4 linked regions of the Saccharomyces cerevisiae S288C genome follow. The protein of the gene in region 1 interacts with the protein of each later gene in a biochemical or structural test. Each region holds a gene or a part of one and is shown in the gene's direction. Other genes may lie near its edges. The genes, in order: MPH1, MHF1, MTE1 and MHF2.

Region 1 (6,962 bases):
CAAAATTCAGGGTGTGCGGGTAAAAAAAAAAAAAGTCGAAGAAATATATATATATATATATAGAATAAAATCTAGTTTTTATGCCATTATTATTAATAACACCTCTAGTTTGCTCGTCATTCACATATTTCTCTCTTGATACATACTATAGAGTTTATTCATACATATTATTTATAAGATTCTAAAGGGAGTGAAAAGACGCTTCTTCTGAATGTAAGGCAGAATCAACGTCTTCGTAGCCACCTGAGAGTTCTCTTTCCATATCAACCTCCATTTGGTCCTCCATCTGCTGTTCCTGTATTTCTGTCGTATCGTTTTGATCTCTGTTGGCGATGGCCTCCGATGGGGACAGAGATTCCTCACTTATGGCTTTTCTATTACCTACGGCGTTCGTCTGTGGCAACTGAGAAAGAGGATCCGACTCAGCATTAGCAGGTAACTTTTCCTTTTCGTCCAGCTCAAAAGGACAAAGAGCAGCCTCCATCTTATTTGGAGATTGTTCTCGTTGTTCCTCGGGAATGCTCTTTGACTTTTCATCCAAGGCCCTTTCTGCTTGCTCACCAGGAGTAGTATCTATTAAGACTTTTTCCTTAGAGAAGGAAGAGGAAACATTCCAATTGTTAAATATTTCTATTTTATTAGTGTTGTCATCTTCTTCAATCTTCTCTACGCTAGCTACTTTAGAAGGTAATTTACGCCCACGAGGTCCTCTACCTCTTCTAGTTCCGCCCAGAGGTCCCGTTTTTGCCTGTGATTGGTCCTGGGGTCCTAGCTTAGATTCAGTATCCGGGGAGGACAACTTCTTCTCCAAGGAAGGTGGAAGCTGTCCAGGGTTCACCATACCAGGTAGCGCAAACAGTCCATTCAATTTGCTCGTAAAATCTGCCTTCGTGGTATCGCTAGTAATAGAAGAATCTGTGTGTTTTTTAGCAATATCTGCTGAAGCGGTAGTAGCTGAAGAATTACCATTATTATGCAGATCTTGTTGCTGTTGTTTTTGTAACATTTCTTGAAAGGCCGCAATTCTTGAAGAAGGTTTTTTGGGAACCGGAGGTGGGGCACGTCTCTTTGGTCTTTCAGAGGGAATTTTTGGGATTTTACTTTCCTCTTCGGTACTAATTAGGGTCGAATCACACTCTTCTGATACTCGCTTCTCTTGTGTGTTAGGCAACTCCTCTTTTTGTACGTGTGCTTCAAAATCCTTCTTAGGCCTACTCCTTGGAATCACTGGAACGTCATTTTCCTCTTCACTTGCAATTTGTGAAGGAACGTTTGAGCTAGTTGCTGCTATAACTGTTTCAGTATCAGAAGGTCCTTGCGGCTGAGAATTCACTTCCATGTTGTCCTTGCCTTCTTGTTTCTCATTCAAAGAGGTAGTACTTTCTTCATCGGTTGGATTTTGGAAAATTTTTTCTTCCTGTTGTTCTTGATGCTTCTGTAGCTCTTCTAAACTAGATTCAGGATGTTTAGTGAACTTTTCAGCTTTGTCGTCTGATTCTGTGATTCCAGATGGAGGCAGAGCATTGAGGCTGCCTTCTTCTACGTCCTTACTAACATCTACCTGTACTTTCATATCTCCAGGAATGAGCTTTTCTTCAAAATGGCTTCTATCCCCTGCCTCATTATCTAGGGCAGCATGTACCTTTTGCTTTTCAGTAAGGTCTTCGGAGTCACTATGCTCTGTCACTTCATTATTAGACTTGTTAACTAAATTAGAAGGTGAAATAGCAGACTCATTGCCCTCAGCACCCTCGTGCTCATTTTTTTCGAGTGGGGAGGGATTTGTAGAAGTTTTGTTATCTGATGCACTTCTTTGCCCGTTTTGATGAATGGCGGCCACCTTTCCCTCTTCCACAGAAGTTGGACTTTTTTTCCTGGAAACATTGTGTATATTGTGCTTTGAAATCAAACTTTCAATCTCCTCTAACTCCTTACTGGTGTTATTCATTACATTATTTAGTTCTTCAGTAGTGGAGCGTCTAACTGGCCTCTGCAATGGTACCTTGGGCAAACTCTCTTGATCCATACCACTCTCAAACGAAGTCATCGTCTTTGCTTTAAGTATGGGTCTACGTGTTGGTACATTGGGCGTTCCTGCTGGTGTTGGTGGCTCGCTATTAGCTTTAATATCTCCTGATTCAGAGCCGGATAACGGAAACAGCTCAGATGTCTTCCTCCTTGAGGGCCTCTCAGGTACTTTTGGCGTAACTTCCGATGGCATTGTATAATCGGTCAAAATAGATTTCCTGTTAGATCACCAACAAAACATGATACTTTCTAAATCAGAAAGCTTAAATTAAAATATACTCAATATTTCTCCTTTTCTTTTGCTTCGCGCCTGGTAAAACAAGATTGCTTTCATTGTGCATGTGGTAGAAAAGACAAGTTAAAAAAGGAGAATGTACTAACACAAAATTCAAACTCCAAAGGGGATAATTGCACTCAATTTGCAAGGTTGTTCCATATGAGACAGGAGTCTTCTTCTCCATCGACCTTCCTAGCTTACTGTGCTCACAGAAAGACATAAACCGGGTAACGGCTTTTACGGGGTTACGTGTGTATATAACCGGGCATCACGAAGAGATCAATAGAGGTGCCCTATGCTCTATCACGGAGCTAAGATATTGTGATTCAAGATATAGTAGCTCACTTCAGTTTTATTCAACACATTCCGGTTCTGTTTTATTTTAGTGTCCTTTTTTCTCTCTGATGGCTAGTGCAGATGATTACTTTAGTGATTTCGAAGATGACGAGCTGGATAAACTGTATGAAAAGGCTATCAATAAATCTGTGAAGGAAACTATAACGAGACGTGCTGTACCAGTTCAAAAAGACCTTCATGATAACGTTTTACCTGGGCAGAAAACTGTGTACGAAGAAATTCAAAGAGATGTCAGTTTTGGACCCACTCATCATGAGCTTGATTACGATGCTTTGTCGTTCTACGTGTACCCTACAAATTACGAGGTAAGGGATTATCAGTATACAATTGTTCACAAATCACTGTTTCAAAATACGTTATGCGCCATCCCAACGGGTATGGGTAAAACGTTCATTGCCAGTACAGTAATGTTAAATTATTTTCGTTGGACCAAAAAAGCCAAAATAATCTTTACTGCTCCAACAAGACCTTTGGTAGCCCAGCAAATTAAGGCATGCTTAGGTATAACAGGAATACCTTCGGATCAAACTGCTATATTACTCGATAAAAGCAGGAAAAATAGAGAAGAAATTTGGGCCAATAAGAGAGTTTTCTTTGCCACACCGCAAGTAGTGGAGAATGACTTGAAGAGGGGTGTATTGGATCCTAAGGATATTGTATGTCTTGTCATCGATGAAGCTCACAGAGCTACTGGCTCCTCTGCGTATACAAATGTGGTAAAATTCATAGATAGGTTCAATTCATCATACAGATTATTAGCATTGACCGCTACACCAGCCTCTGACCTGGAAGGTGTCCAAGAAGTGGTTAATAACTTAGATATTTCCAAGATTGAAATTAGGACTGAAGAAAGCATGGATATCGTGAAATATATGAAGAAAAGAAAAAAGGAAAAAATTGAAGTGCCCCTTTTGTTGGAAATTGAAGACATAATCGAACAATTAGGTATGGCCGTCAAACCAGTGCTTCAACAGGCAATTGAACTCGGTATATATGAGGAATGTGACCCTTCACAAATAAACGCCTTCAAAGCCATGCAACAAAGCCAAAAAATTATTGCTAACCCTACTATACCTGAAGGAATTAAGTGGAGGAACTTCTTTATTTTACAGTTATTGAACAATGTGGGTCAAATGCTAAAGAGATTAAAAATTTATGGAATAAGGACATTTTTCAATTACTTCCAGAATAAATGTACAGAATTCACTACGAAATATAATCTTAAAAAATCTACTAATAAAATTGCAGCTGAGTTTTATTACCATCCGATTTTGAAAAACATCAAAAATCAATGCGAAAATTATTTAAGTGATCCAAAGTTTGTCGGTCATGGGAAGTTACAATGTGTTAGAGATGAACTAATGGACTTTTTTCAGAAAAGGGGTTCCGACTCGAGGGTTATTATTTTTACAGAATTAAGAGAAAGCGCACTTGAAATTGTGAAGTTCATAGACTCGGTAGCTGACGATCAAATCAGGCCTCATATTTTTATTGGACAAGCTCGTGCAAAAGAAGGTTTTGATGAGGTCAAATACACAAGAAAACATGCGCCAAAGGGAAGGAAGAAGGTAGAGAGATTGCATAGGCAAGAGCAAGAGAAATTTTTGGAAGCTGAACGAACTAAGAGAGCGGCGAATGATAAACTTGAAAGAAGTGCCAGACGAACGGGGAGCTCTGAAGAGGCTCAGATTAGCGGAATGAACCAAAAAATGCAAAAAGAGGTTATCCATAATTTCAAAAAGGGTGAATATAATGTTCTCGTTTGTACATCAATTGGAGAAGAAGGTTTGGATATCGGAGAAGTTGATTTAATAATCTGTTATGATACTACAAGTAGTCCAATCAAAAATATTCAGCGTATGGGTAGAACAGGCAGAAAACGAGATGGTAAGATAGTACTACTGTTTAGCAGTAATGAATCATACAAATTCGAGCGTGCTATGGAAGACTATTCAACCCTGCAAGCGCTTATATCCAAGCAATGCATTGACTATAAAAAATCAGATCGGATAATCCCTGAAGACATTATTCCGGAATGTCACGAGACATTGATCACGATTAATGATGAAAACGAAATAATTAATGAAATGGAAGATGTTGACGAAGTTATTCGTTATGCGACTCAGTGTATGATGGGCAAAAAGGTGAAGCCAAAAAAAGCCATAACAAAGAAGAAGAGAGTTCAGGAAAATAAAAAACCGAAGAAGTTCTTTATGCCTGATAATGTTGAGACCAGTATTGTTAGTGCAAGCACTTTAATTAATAAGTTCTTGGTGAATGAAAGTGGCGGGAAACAACTAGTAACGAGTAATGAAAACCCAAGTAAGAAGCGGAAGATTTTTAAAGCTTTGGATAATCTGGAGAATGATTCAACCGAGGAAGCTTCCTCCTCATTAGAAACTGAAGATGAAGAAGTCAGTGATGATAATAATGTTTTCATTGCGGAAGGGCAGAATGGATGCCAAAAAGATTTGGAAACTGCCATTATTCGCACTGGCGAAAGTCTTACCACACTCAAGCCACTTCATAATTTTGAACGCCCTAATATGGCTTTATTTGTGAATGATTGTGGTCTTCCAACTAAAATCGAGAAAAATGTGAAAGACATCCGAGGAAATCAACACAACCTTGAAAAAGAAAAGAGCTGTACTGTTGACAAGAATAACATGGTATTGAGTTTGGACGATTGGAATTTTTTCAGAAACCGCTATATCCCAGAAGGTGTTTCCTTCGATGTGGAGCCCAATTTTGTACAATACACCAAAGGGGTAAAAGTTCCGCATTGTCACAAAGTTTCAAAAATCATTACGTTATTTAACGACGAGAGTAATGATAATAAGAAGAGGACAATTGATATGAACTATACTAAATGTTTGGCGAGAGGCATGTTACGAGACGAAAAAAAATTTGTAAAAGTTAACGATAAAAGTCAAGTCGATAACAACAGTGTCAACCATGATTCATCCCAATCTTTTACCTTATCGAACGCAGAATTAGATGACATACTGGGCTCAGATTCTGATTTTTGATAGGAGACTCTTATACGTCGGCGTCTATACAAAAATAACGCTGCTGTAATATTTAAGTATTTATAGATTTTTCTATATATCGCATAAATACTTCAAGGACATTATATTTTTAGTATCAACTTATTTTCTTTAGAATTTTTCATTCATTAAGGATACGGCACTGTTTTTGAAGCAACAAAATATAAAAATTGAGCCAACGACGAGTACAATCTGTAATCTTCCACGCCTACCAATGCAAAACCTTTCTGTCATGAAGCACTAAGCATAGCGCTTCAATTTGTGGCAATCACCATAATAAACAGCTTGTTTCTTGGAGGATATGAAAAAGATTATCAATCATTCGTTAGGTGAAAAAAAACCGCAACAATTTCCTACACTCCGAAAAGTAACCTTAAAATGCAGCAAATTTCAAATTTAATTTTGATTAAGTAAGTAATCTCAACTTTCGCTCTCCAACCAGGCCTATTAACATAAACATATATCTGCTGTCACATAGTGTCATCATTTGCAATTGCTGTTATGTCCCAGGAAGAGAAAGTGGATGCTAAGGCAACCTTAAAGACTGAAATTTCGAACAATAAAAAGAACGACAAGCAAGAGCTCGAGCTGGATGAACTTGTGGGTAAACTATCTATCGAGGGCACTCCACAGGTGTCGCAAAAGCTAAGCAAGGAGGAAAAACACGCTCATCAACTTGAAGCTGACTCGCGTTCTATCTTTGTCGGTAACATCACTCCGGATGTCACCCCAGAGCAAATAGAAGATCATTTCAAAGACTGTGGCCAGATAAAAAGAATAACACTTCTTTATGATAGGAATACGGGAACACCAAAAGGCTACGGCTATATTGAATTTGAAAGTCCGGCATACAGAGAAAAAGCCCTGCAATTAAATGGAGGAGAACTTAAAGGCAAAAAAATTGCTGTCTCCAGAAAAAGAACTAACATTCCAGGATTTAATAGGCATTACAACTCGCAAAACCAGTATTTCCAACAATGGCAATGGAATTATCCCTTAATGGCCTACCCCAATCCCGATACCTTCCCTTATTACCCACCGTACCCTCCAAATCAGTCTCCAAATCAAAATTTCGGATATAATAAGAACAATTATTATAGGAGTCCTTACAATAACAAGAATAGAACCTTCCAAAAAAAACACTTCAACAGTGCCAAAGACTCTACAAAAAATATTAGATCTACTTCCCAAAAACCTGTTGTCATGCCGTCTGACAACGTTAAAAGTTCTACCCAAGAAAAAGATTCGAAATA
Region 2 (2,602 bases), on another chromosome or scaffold:
GTGCGAACCCACCTTCGTTGACACTGAAATGGTTATTAGTTAAATCGAGCACGTTTAGATTTGAGTCAGTACAAAAAGAAAACAACAATTTTTCATTAGGTAAAAGGGCAATATCAAGGATACCACCATATTTTTTTACTTTCGCATCTGTAGTTGATATATTTTGCTCTTCGTGTTCATGGTGATGATGATGATGGTGGTGATGATCAGGCTTGAAAATTCTTGTAAGTTTAGCATCTTCATAACTGGATAAGTTTGCTCTCATAACATTGCCCTGAGAGTCACCAAAATACAACTTATCAAGGCTCGTTCCTTGGACACACCATATGGAAGAATCCCAGGACCAAGATCCAATTTTTTTGGGAAGCTGAAGGGCACCAGTAGTCTGATCATGCCTACAATTCAAGTCCCATACATTTATTACACCATCTGAGCTGGTACTGATTAGTCGTGTGGAGTCATCAAGAGTTCTTACTACTTTTATATTTGTTCTGTGGGCGTTTTGAATTCTTATCACCTCCTTACGATATTTACACGAATAAAAAATCAAATCACCATTACAGTCTCCGGCAACAAAATCAAAGGGACGAGACGTTTGATTGTCATCAAAACTGTATTTTGGGATGATGGGACTCATGGAGTATATTGAGCCTGTGTCGTTTGATTGTGCATTATCAAATGTGTGTAGTAGCGTAGCCATTTTTTCTGGCCCGCTGCTCAGGCACCAAAGTTTGATTTTTCTATCTAGACCACCTGTCACAAAAAGAAAGTTGTTCTGTTCATCAACAACAATGCCATTATTTATTCCATCGTGTACATTATCAGGACCACCCTCTTGTTCTTCCAATTCATAGTCATTTGACATTTCATAATGTATGGGCACTATGCACTTGATATAATCGTCGTGGTCACCGATTATTTTCTTATCCCAGGTAGTTAACTGCGCATTCACACTAATTAATACTATCGAAAAATCGTGACTTACTGATATGAATGTGTCCCCTGCAGATGGGTCTGAATTTTTCATATTAACATGTATTAGATCGCTTGCCCAATCGCTATGAACTTGCATTCTTATCGCATCGTTTTTTATGGTAGTTGCAGCAGTCTCAGGCTCGTTCGAGAGCTGTGTGTTCTTGTGCAAAATTATGGAACCATCCCTTCCTGAAGTAAGAAAATAGTTTTTACCAGGTATATCCGGGTACAGAATCTTTGTTATCGGTAAGATGTGCGCATCTTGGGAAGTGCAGTAATCTGGGGAAATTAGGCCATAACTCACTGTCAACTGATTCATTATTACCTTTCTATTTTCTCCGGCTTTTTATTGGCTTGCTCTTCTAAAGTCAGAAAAGCGTAGATTTGCTAGAATGTATCGTTTCCTCGTTAGGAATGGCTTGAACTAATTCCTGTATCTATGCAATTGCAATCCAACTACACTTATACGACGTCAAAAGGAAGGGGCGGAGCGTTCTAATTGTAGTTGCAAAAAGCGATGTAGTCGTTCTTCAAGTAGTAATTAATACCAGGATAGGACACGGTGTTATGGTGCTGGTAGTTACTTGTTATAATGTTATTATTGGGCAAAAAGAGAGTTCACTGTTTAACAATAGCAATGGGGTTTTTTTCAGTATACATTTGAACTGCAATGGAATTTGGGCGGAGGGAGCAGTAAAGGGGCGATCAGAGTTGAAAAAAAAATGCTGCCGTAAAAAAAGCATGCACGTATACACTTGAGTAAATATATTTATGTATTCATATCTCAAGATAAGATCATGATACATAAAAGCGATATAACGTCTTGAAGCTCAGGTAAGGGGCTAGTAGATGCAATGAATGACGATGAAGATAGAGCCCAACTGAAGGCTAGGCTGTGGATCCGTGTGGAAGAACGATTACAACAGGTGTTGTCCTCTGAGGACATAAAATACACACCGAGATTCATCAACTCATTGCTGGAGTTAGCATATCTACAATTGGGTGAAATGGGGAGCGATTTGCAGGCATTTGCTCGGCATGCCGGTAGAGGTGTGGTCAATAAGAGCGACCTCATGCTATACCTGAGAAAGCAACCTGACCTACAGGAAAGAGTTACTCAAGAATAAGAATTTTCGTTTTAAAACCTAAGAGTCACTTTAAAATTTGTATACACTTATTTTTTTTATAACTTATTTAATAATAAAAATCATAAATCATAAGAAATTCGCTTATTTAGAAGTGTCAACAACGTATCTACCAACGATTTGACCCTTTTCCATCTTTTCGTAAATTTCTGGCAAGGTAGACAAGCCGACAACCTTGATTGGAGACTTGACCAAACCTCTGGCGAAGAAGTCCAAAGCTTCTCTGGTGTCAGCTCTGTTACCGACGTAAGAACCAACAATAGAGATGGACTTGACGACTTGGTTGAAGACATCAGAACAACACTTGGCACCAGCTGGCATACCGACCAAAACGGTGGTACCGTTAGCTCTAACGTATCTGGTAGAAGCTTCAATAGCGGCTTCGGAAACGGAAACGTTGATGACACCGTGAGCACCACCGTCAGTGGCCTTTAGAACAGCACCGACAATGTCCTTTTCCTTAGTGAAGTCAATGAAGACTT
Region 3 (4,729 bases), on another chromosome or scaffold:
GAAGCCTTTGTTCCCAGGCAGAGACTATCATCATCAATTATGGCTAATTCTAGAAGTCTTGGGAACTCCATCTTTCGAAGACTTTAATCAGATCAAATCCAAGAGGGCTAAAGAGTATATAGCAAACTTACCTATGAGGCCACCCTTGCCATGGGAGACCGTCTGGTCAAAGACCGATCTGAATCCAGATATGATAGATTTACTAGACAAAATGCTTCAATTCAATCCTGACAAAAGAATAAGCGCAGCAGAAGCTTTAAGACACCCTTACCTGGCAATGTACCATGACCCAAGTGATGAGCCGGAATATCCTCCACTTAATTTGGATGATGAATTTTGGAAACTGGATAACAAGATAATGCGTCCGGAAGAGGAGGAAGAAGTGCCCATAGAAATGCTCAAAGACATGCTTTACGATGAACTAATGAAGACCATGGAATAGTATTCACAAGAACATTTCTGCCATACTTCTAAAATTTCCCTATATTCAGCTTAGCAGTGACACGTTGTGGTCTGTAGGTCAATATGTAAGTAAGAAACTTCAACTCACATATGCACGATGCATGCCAATGGAAAAATGCAAGGAACGAAATGGCGCCACGGCAACAAGTTTTTTTTTTTCGCCAGCAGAAGTACACGAAATGCGGCTTCATGAGCCTCTTCACTGCTTTGCCTAAACGGGAAATGCAGAGAAAAACCAGCCATCGCGTGTGCTTGGAGAGCTGACGCGACTGTAATCAAAGAGGCGATATCAACACCTTTTATCCAGCACTATTCAACAGTGAATGGGCTCCCAAGTAAGTCTTGGCATTGTGCTTTCTATTCTTAAGTATTAAGTAGAAGTTTTGTTTACTGGGTTTGTTTATTCCTGGCTAGATGTTCGCATTCGTTTTCTAGTTGACCATATTTACCAAATATTCACAACTAATACCCAGCCAAGGTAGTCTAAAAGCTAATTTCTCTAAAAGGGAGAAAGTTGGTGATTTTTTATCTCGCATTATTATATATGCAAGAATAGTTAAGGTATAGTTATAAAGTTTTATCTTAATTGCCACATACGTACATTGACACGTAGAAGGACTCCATTATTTTTTTCATTCTAGCATACTATTATTCCTTGTAACGTCCCAGAGTATTCCATTTAATTGTCCTCCATTTCTTAACGGTGACGAAGGATCACCATACAACAACTACTAAAGATTATAGTACACTCTCACCTTGCAACTATTTATCTGACATTTGCCTTACTTTTATCTCCAGCTTCCCCTCGATTTTATTTTTCAATTTGATTTCTAAAGCTTTTTGCTTAGGCATACCAAACCATCCACTCATTTAACACCTTATTTTTTTTTTCGAAGACAGCATCCAACTTTATACGTTCACTACCTTTTTTTTTACAACAATTTCATTCTTCATCCTATGAAATGACGAAAATAACCAGAGATGTTTCGATAACGACAGAAAATTCAAAATCCACATCTGGATCGGCAACGGCTTCATCCGCATCTTTACCTGAGAACGACCACCCAATATTCCATCAACCGCGAGCAAGAATAAGATCTGGTTCGCTGTTCATCGAAGGATCTGATTCATTTCCATCATCAGAAGTGAAGTCATACAATGTTTATATTGATGATAGCAAGTATAGTGAAATCCTCAAAGGAGATACAAATTCAAGTAGTACTGATGGTAAACAAGTCTTTGAAGATGCTAGAGATGACAATTTCCATCAGGAATCACATAGAGATCTAGAGGATTCAATTTTAGATTTAGTACGACGAGATCCAGAAGTAGCAGCATTCCCTTTACCTCCGCCAAATTCAAATGAGAGGAACAGAAATTCCTCAAACGGGTCTTCCGCTGAAACTAACCTAAATGGACACAGCAGCAGCGGTACCATCTCTACTTCGGTGCTGTTGAATATGGGTTCGGCAGAAAAGCACGCTGGGACGACCAGAGGAGATCATATGGAATCATCTTCAATGAAATCCTTCGAGAAACTGGGAACCAGACCTTCTTCTTTATTCTATCCACCACCCGAAGGAACTGCGCCGTACCAGGGACCAAGGGCTACCGTCTCCGGAAATAAGTCTACAAGGCAAACACAAGGTACATACTCATTTCCTTCTATGCGGTATGGTGTAGATCTTGTTTCTCCTGTGGAAGGGGCTGTTGATGTAGCAAAAAGCAGAGTTCCTAACAGCACGCTAAATGGTACTTTTCCCGATAAAGCGTTTATCCCACATGAATTTCAAATTCCTAAAAAGGCCTGGAACAGAATACCAGCGAATAAGTCCACTAGCCTCAAAACCCCAAGAAACCATTCCCTATTAATTGACATATTAAAGCCTTTTGAAGCAGCTGACCTTGCTAATGACCAGCGAAGTTCTTCCGCTGTTTTAAAAAATACAGTGCATTCTAATGGGCAGTATAATCCAACTAATGAAACCTCTGGAACTCGAATGCAAGATCAAAGGCAGAAGAATACCAACGAAATTGATTTAGAGAAAATTCCTAATCCTCAAGTCCCTCTTGGTATCGCAATGGACACCATGCGTAGTCCAAACCAACTACACGAAAAGGAATACGAAAGTAATATAGAAGCTGGTTTAGCTTCTGGGGTCGGAAAAGGTGACAATAGTATTAAGCAACATCAATATAAAAAAATTCCTCAAGAAATTGATCGAGATCAGCAATTAAGTTTTCAAATGGAAACAATGCCCATTCAAAGAATAGATTCCTCCTCCATACGTTCATTTGATTCCCGAATATATGGCTTCTCCGAGATTTATAGTATTCCAAGGGTTATAACTACACTGTGCATCTGCCTTTTTGTTCCGCCCTTATTCTTTTTCTTTTCAATCAATGGAAATAATGGCGTTTCAAATTATAGATTAATGAGAATGATAATGAATTATGAACATAGAATCGGCCTCCTCAAAGGGTTTGAATGGGACATTGACGTACAATGGTTCAGGACATTGTGCTTTGTATTAGGATGTATAGAGATGTTAGCTATCTTTGCTAGCATAGGAATAGGATTTGGTGTGGGAATAATAAGAGAGTAACTCCATGCTGGACTTACTCGTCGAAGATTTCCTGCTACTCTCTATATAATTAGACACCCATGTTATAGATTTCAGAAAACAATGTAATAATATATGGTAGCCTCCTGAAACTACCAAGGGAAAAATCTCAACACCAAGAGCTCATATTCGTTGGAATAGCGATAATATCTCTTTACCTCAATCTTATATGCATGTTATTTGCTCTTATAATTGGTCTCTATTTAGGGAAAAAAGTCGGTTTGAGAGCTTCTCGCGATGTGAAATCTCAATTTGAACTGCACGCCAAAGCTAGCCCATTTCACGAACACCAGAAAGAAGAAATCCCCAAGGATCGCATGACAGAGTATGCTCTCTCATATCGTTGAGTATGAATGCCAATACACTGATCAGCTTTACAAGAAACGTAAAATCTGGCACGATGGTAGACTGAAATACTTTCAGTTAAACAACAGATTCATGCTTTATACGGAAAAGGATAACGTTTTGTTAGCTAGTGAATTTAAAATAAATTCAAAAGAGCTGAAAGCAATTCTAAATCCAGAAGGTTTTGATATTGAAGAACATAGGATTTTTAGTCAGTTTTTGGTGATTATTTCAAATATTATTGAGGAGTACGATAGAGATATTCAAGTGGCAGCAACGCATGTTAGGGCATATCCTTCAAATTTGTCGGTGCAAAAACAACGCCCTCTTATCTCAGACAATGCACCAAGTTTGAATCATATCTCAACTGCGAGAGAAGTTCATTCGAACATAAAAGTCACAACTCCCAATCGCAAGCAGACAGAGGACAATGCCACCAAGGGAGGATTCAACATCAGCAAACTTACTCTGAAGGTCAATAAGCCTTTCAAGAAGCCCAAGAGGATATTAAGTACTAATGTGGTAAATGAATCAAATAGACCGAGCATAAGGAGCCAAAAGATTCAGGAAGTGACACCACAACTACACGAAACAAACACAAGCACTAAAGTGCAGACAGCCGGAAAAGTTGCGTTGAATAATGATAATATTGCGCAAGGTAATTACGCCACGATTACCGAAGAAGCTAAAGTCAGAGACGGTTCCGACAGAAAGAAAGATATGGCGAACCTATCCAAAAGTGGTAAAAGGAGAGTGGGCGGGATACGAAGAATTGTTCACGAACCCCTCGGAATTTGATTATACGTCAGAATTTTAATGAATATATAAGTCTGTACACTATGCTATGCACATATACTCAAACAAATTCAATACTAAGTACCGAAAAGGAAAGTGGTATATATATATTTATATATATAAGTAGGTACCTCTACTCTTAATGATCACATTTTTTCTTCAACCAGTTTGTACAGTGCTTCAATGTCTGCGGAGAATTTTCTGATACCATCTGATAGTTTTTCTGTAGCCATTTGATCTTCGTTTAAAACATATCTGAAATGAGGCTCGTCGTTGATAAAAGAGACTTTTTCGACGCCTTCTTCCTTAGCACTCTCAGAATTCAATTTGTTTTCAATAGGATCTGTTGATTCATATAACTGTTCTAGAAGGTTCAGTGGGAGAGTCATATTATCAATACCGGCTAACGCCTTCAATTCATCTAAATTCCTGAAAGAAGCCGCCATTACCTCAGTTGCATAACCATGCCTCTTATAGTAACTGTATATCTTCTTAACAGAAAG
Region 4 (3,983 bases), on another chromosome or scaffold:
GGCGATTGTAACATTGGGGTTTGCAAGAAAAGACAATCATCAATAAAAGTGTTTATTATCTGATTGTACATTTATTTCTCATCATTGGATTCAGTTTTGTTTCATCCACATTCTTTTAAGACCACAAGCTTAATATTTTCATTCATAAAGGATTGTACGACAAAACAACAATAATAGTAAATATAGTCATATTTTATTCCTAATAGAAAGATAGACGCAGAAAATTCTTACTTTTAGCCCTTTTATTTCTTCATAACCGCATCGCCATTCGCATAATAACTTATCCCAGGCCTAAAATACGACAAGAAAGAAAATAGTAGTAATGGGTTCCATCAATAATAACTTCAACACTAATAATAACAGTAATACGGATCTCGATCGGGACTGGAAAACTGCATTGAATATTCCCAAGAAGGATACCAGACCACAGACAGATGATGTCTTAAATACAAAGGGTAATACTTTTGAAGATTTTTATTTGAAAAGAGAGCTGTTAATGGGTATTTTTGAAGCCGGTTTTGAAAAACCATCCCCTATTCAAGAAGAGGCTATTCCGGTAGCAATAACTGGTAGAGACATATTGGCCAGAGCAAAGAATGGTACAGGTAAGACAGCCGCATTTGTTATTCCTACGTTAGAGAAAGTCAAACCAAAGTTGAATAAAATTCAGGCTTTGATCATGGTTCCCACAAGAGAGTTAGCTCTGCAAACTTCCCAAGTCGTCCGTACATTGGGAAAACACTGTGGTATTTCATGTATGGTGACCACTGGTGGTACCAATTTGAGAGACGATATTCTAAGATTAAATGAAACAGTCCATATTTTGGTTGGTACTCCTGGTAGAGTGTTGGATTTAGCTTCGAGAAAAGTAGCAGATCTGTCTGATTGTTCATTATTCATCATGGACGAAGCCGATAAAATGTTATCTCGTGACTTCAAGACAATAATTGAACAAATCTTATCCTTCTTACCTCCAACTCACCAATCTTTATTATTTAGCGCTACTTTCCCACTAACGGTTAAGGAATTCATGGTTAAACATCTGCATAAGCCTTATGAAATTAATTTGATGGAAGAATTGACTCTAAAGGGTATTACTCAATACTACGCCTTTGTTGAAGAAAGACAAAAGCTACATTGTTTAAATACTTTATTCTCTAAGCTTCAAATTAATCAAGCCATTATTTTTTGTAATTCTACTAACCGTGTCGAATTACTAGCCAAGAAAATCACTGATTTAGGCTATTCCTGTTATTACTCTCATGCAAGAATGAAGCAACAAGAAAGAAATAAAGTTTTCCACGAATTTCGTCAAGGTAAGGTTCGTACATTGGTCTGCTCCGATTTATTGACCCGTGGTATCGATATTCAAGCCGTTAATGTCGTTATCAATTTCGATTTCCCCAAAACGGCAGAAACATATTTACATCGTATTGGTAGATCCGGTAGGTTTGGCCACTTGGGTTTAGCAATCAATTTGATTAACTGGAATGATCGGTTTAACCTTTATAAAATCGAACAAGAACTGGGCACTGAAATTGCGGCTATTCCGGCCACTATCGATAAGTCATTGTATGTGGCTGAAAATGACGAAACGGTACCTGTCCCATTCCCGATAGAGCAACAGAGCTATCATCAACAAGCGATACCTCAGCAACAATTACCATCTCAGCAACAATTTGCTATTCCTCCGCAGCAACATCATCCACAATTCATGGTTCCTCCTTCGCATCAGCAACAACAGGCGTATCCTCCACCGCAAATGCCATCGCAGCAGGGGTATCCTCCACAGCAGGAACATTTCATGGCGATGCCACCTGGTCAGTCACAACCCCAGTATTAAAGAATATCTAAGAAAAAATAACTACTGTGGTGAGATACGCTTTTTTTGTGATCTAATCGTCGATTATTTTTATCTTTTTTCAAATCTCCATTGTGAATTACATTACTTTGTAACCATACTTTTACTATTGATTTTGAACAAGAATCAGTCGTAATTTAATTTTTGTCTCTGCTTTTTTATTTTTTTATCCGTTTTCTCTAGTTTCTGTGCTGATTTTTTTATCCTCATTTGCGCACCGTTTTTATTACTATCACTTTGTTATTTCTTTTTGTTTCTCTAAAATTATCTCAAACCACTTCATTCTTTTACCAGTCATTGTTGTAACCAATACTACCGTCCATATCAAGAGCTCAAGTGCACTTGCCCAGTTTCATCGACACTTTCGCTTTTAGCTAACTTTTATTGTTATAATTTCCACAATAAACTATTCATTTCAACTGACAAGATGAAACTTTCTTTGAATATTCTTTCTTTTTTTGAGTTTTTTTTTTTTTAAAAGCTTTTTTTTTTTTTTTTTTATAGAGAGTAATCTCAAGGAAAGAATATTAATACTGTGTATATATATATATATATATACATATATATATAAAACTGTTTAGATAAATTAACCAACCAAAAAGATACATGTATTTTTATTATTTTTACCTATTATTTTTTACTTTGCTGCATCTTCATGTTTCCGGGAGACCAGAATTATCTTTCGGGCCAAAATATCAAAAATCAATCATACATAAAAGCGTGTTAGAATTTACATTATTGCACTTAGAAAGGACATGAGTACAGAGCACAGTAATTGTGGTGATGTTATCTAAAGAAGCGTTAATAAAAATCCTCAGCCAAAATGAAGGTGGTAATGATATGAAAATTGCCGATGAAGTAGTACCAATGATACAGAAATATTTGGATATATTCATTGATGAGGCGGTGCTGCGGTCCTTGCAATCTCACAAGGACATTAACGGAGAACGTGGCGATAAAAGTCCCTTAGAGTTATCGCATCAAGATTTAGAGCGTATCGTAGGGCTTCTTCTGATGGATATGTAAAAGTATTCAACTTACATTACATCCATGTAAAGACATAAGACATTCCTGGTTGTCTGATAAATTTAAAGCACTATATTTTCTTTCAGTCGTCCTGAACTACGTTAGTTTACTAAAGTAGTTTTTGGAGCGATCGTGCGCTCACATATACAAATATACAGTTCATTTTATACTAAACGCTTGCATCAAAACGCGCTGTGAAATGATTAAATTACTTAGTCCATATATATTATGCGATGCGAGAAAATGCTCATCTGATTAGAAATGCGGACTGGAATGACAGAATCACTTCATAAATCAATTAGAGTATATCCCCGGTTATTTGAGCCATTATTTTGAGACTGCTGTTGAGACTGGTTACCAAAGCCATAGCCTGTTTGTGTTGGTACGACGCTAGTGCTTGGTAAACCTGTATACTGACTGTTCAAAAACGGATTGTGGTTTGGATCATCCGATACTTGCCTATATCCTGTTCCTTGAGAATTGATGAATGTTCCTGTCTTCGTATGTTGGGCAGGAATACGAGCCTCCCCTACATTTCCGAATGTATCAATACCTGTTCCTGTGGCTAGTAGCTCGTTTAGTTTACTATACTTGTCTGTCATTGATTGATTGCCTGTCCTGTTTTGAATCAATGGCTCTTGTTGTTTTTGTTGTTGCAGTTGCTGTGGAGAAGAAGCTGCTACTAGTTGGTTCCGTTTTGGTGAACTTGAGCTCTGTTCTGATTTGGCAAATGGATTGTTGGACATTGCCTGTTGCTGCTGTTGCATAGAAGCTAAGTACTGTTGTTCCTGTAGTTGTTGTTGTTGTTGAAACTGTGCTAGTTCTTCGGGTGTTATAGGATTCCCGAATACATCGTAGTACATTGGTTGTTGTTGCAACTGTTGTTGTTGCTGTTGTTGCTGTTGTTGCAATTGAAATTGTGCGTATTCCTCAGGAGTGATTGGGTTACCAAAAATATCATAATACATAGGTTGTTGCAATTGTTGTTGGCCTTGCTGTTGTTGCATTCTTTGTAAATCTTGCAATCTTTTTAGCTCCTCTTCTTCTTTGCTCAACTGCAAAGCTGTTTCATAATCCTCGTCCTGTTTTCTTCTTC

What was found.
Region 2: the proteins of MPH1 (region 1) and MHF1 form a complex in vitro, tested with the Saccharomyces cerevisiae proteins (2 studies listed by BioGRID).
Region 3: the proteins of MPH1 (region 1) and MTE1 form a complex in vitro, tested with the Saccharomyces cerevisiae proteins (one study listed by BioGRID).
Region 4: the proteins of MPH1 (region 1) and MHF2 form a complex in vitro, tested with the Saccharomyces cerevisiae proteins (2 studies listed by BioGRID).

What each region holds. Positions count from the first base shown.
Region 1 is NC_001141.2:356,144-363,105, reverse strand, and holds MPH1 (3'-5' DNA helicase), read left to right. Parts: upstream 1-2,709; coding exon 2,710-5,691; downstream 5,692-6,962. Other genes in the region: AIM21 (Aim21p), read right to left, coding at 182-2,221; SGN1 (Sgn1p), read left to right, coding at 6,211-6,962. UniProt on the Saccharomyces cerevisiae protein: ATP-dependent DNA helicase involved in DNA damage repair by homologous recombination and in genome maintenance. Capable of unwinding D-loops. Plays a role in limiting crossover recombinants during mitotic DNA double-strand break (DSB) repair.
Region 2 is NC_001147.6:157,344-159,945, forward strand, and holds MHF1 (Mhf1p), read left to right. Parts: upstream 1-1,829; coding exon 1,830-2,102; downstream 2,103-2,602. Other genes in the region: DUF1 (Duf1p), read right to left, coding at 1-1,294; alcohol dehydrogenase ADH1, read right to left, coding at 2,205-2,602. UniProt on the Saccharomyces cerevisiae protein: dsDNA-binding component of a FANCM-MHF complex involved in DNA damage repair and genome maintenance. FANCM-MHF promotes gene conversion at blocked replication forks, probably by reversal of the stalled fork.
Region 3 is NC_001139.9:576,063-580,791, forward strand, and holds MTE1 (Mte1p), read left to right. Parts: upstream 1-3,413; coding exon 3,414-4,229; downstream 4,230-4,729. Other genes in the region: mitogen-activated serine/threonine-protein kinase KSS1, read left to right, coding at 1-442; BUD9 (Bud9p), read left to right, coding at 1,425-3,068; sedoheptulose-7-phosphate:D-glyceraldehyde-3-phosphate transaldolase NQM1, read right to left, coding at 4,373-4,729.
Region 4 is NC_001136.10:168,270-172,252, reverse strand, and holds MHF2 (Mhf2p), read left to right. Parts: upstream 1-2,644; coding exon 2,645-2,887; downstream 2,888-3,983. Other genes in the region: YDL159W-A (uncharacterized protein), read right to left, coding at 1-71; DExD/H-box ATP-dependent RNA helicase DHH1, read left to right, coding at 323-1,843; ENT1 (epsin), read right to left, coding at 3,175-3,983. UniProt on the Saccharomyces cerevisiae protein: DNA-binding component of a FANCM-MHF complex involved in DNA damage repair and genome maintenance. FANCM-MHF promotes gene conversion at blocked replication forks, probably by reversal of the stalled fork.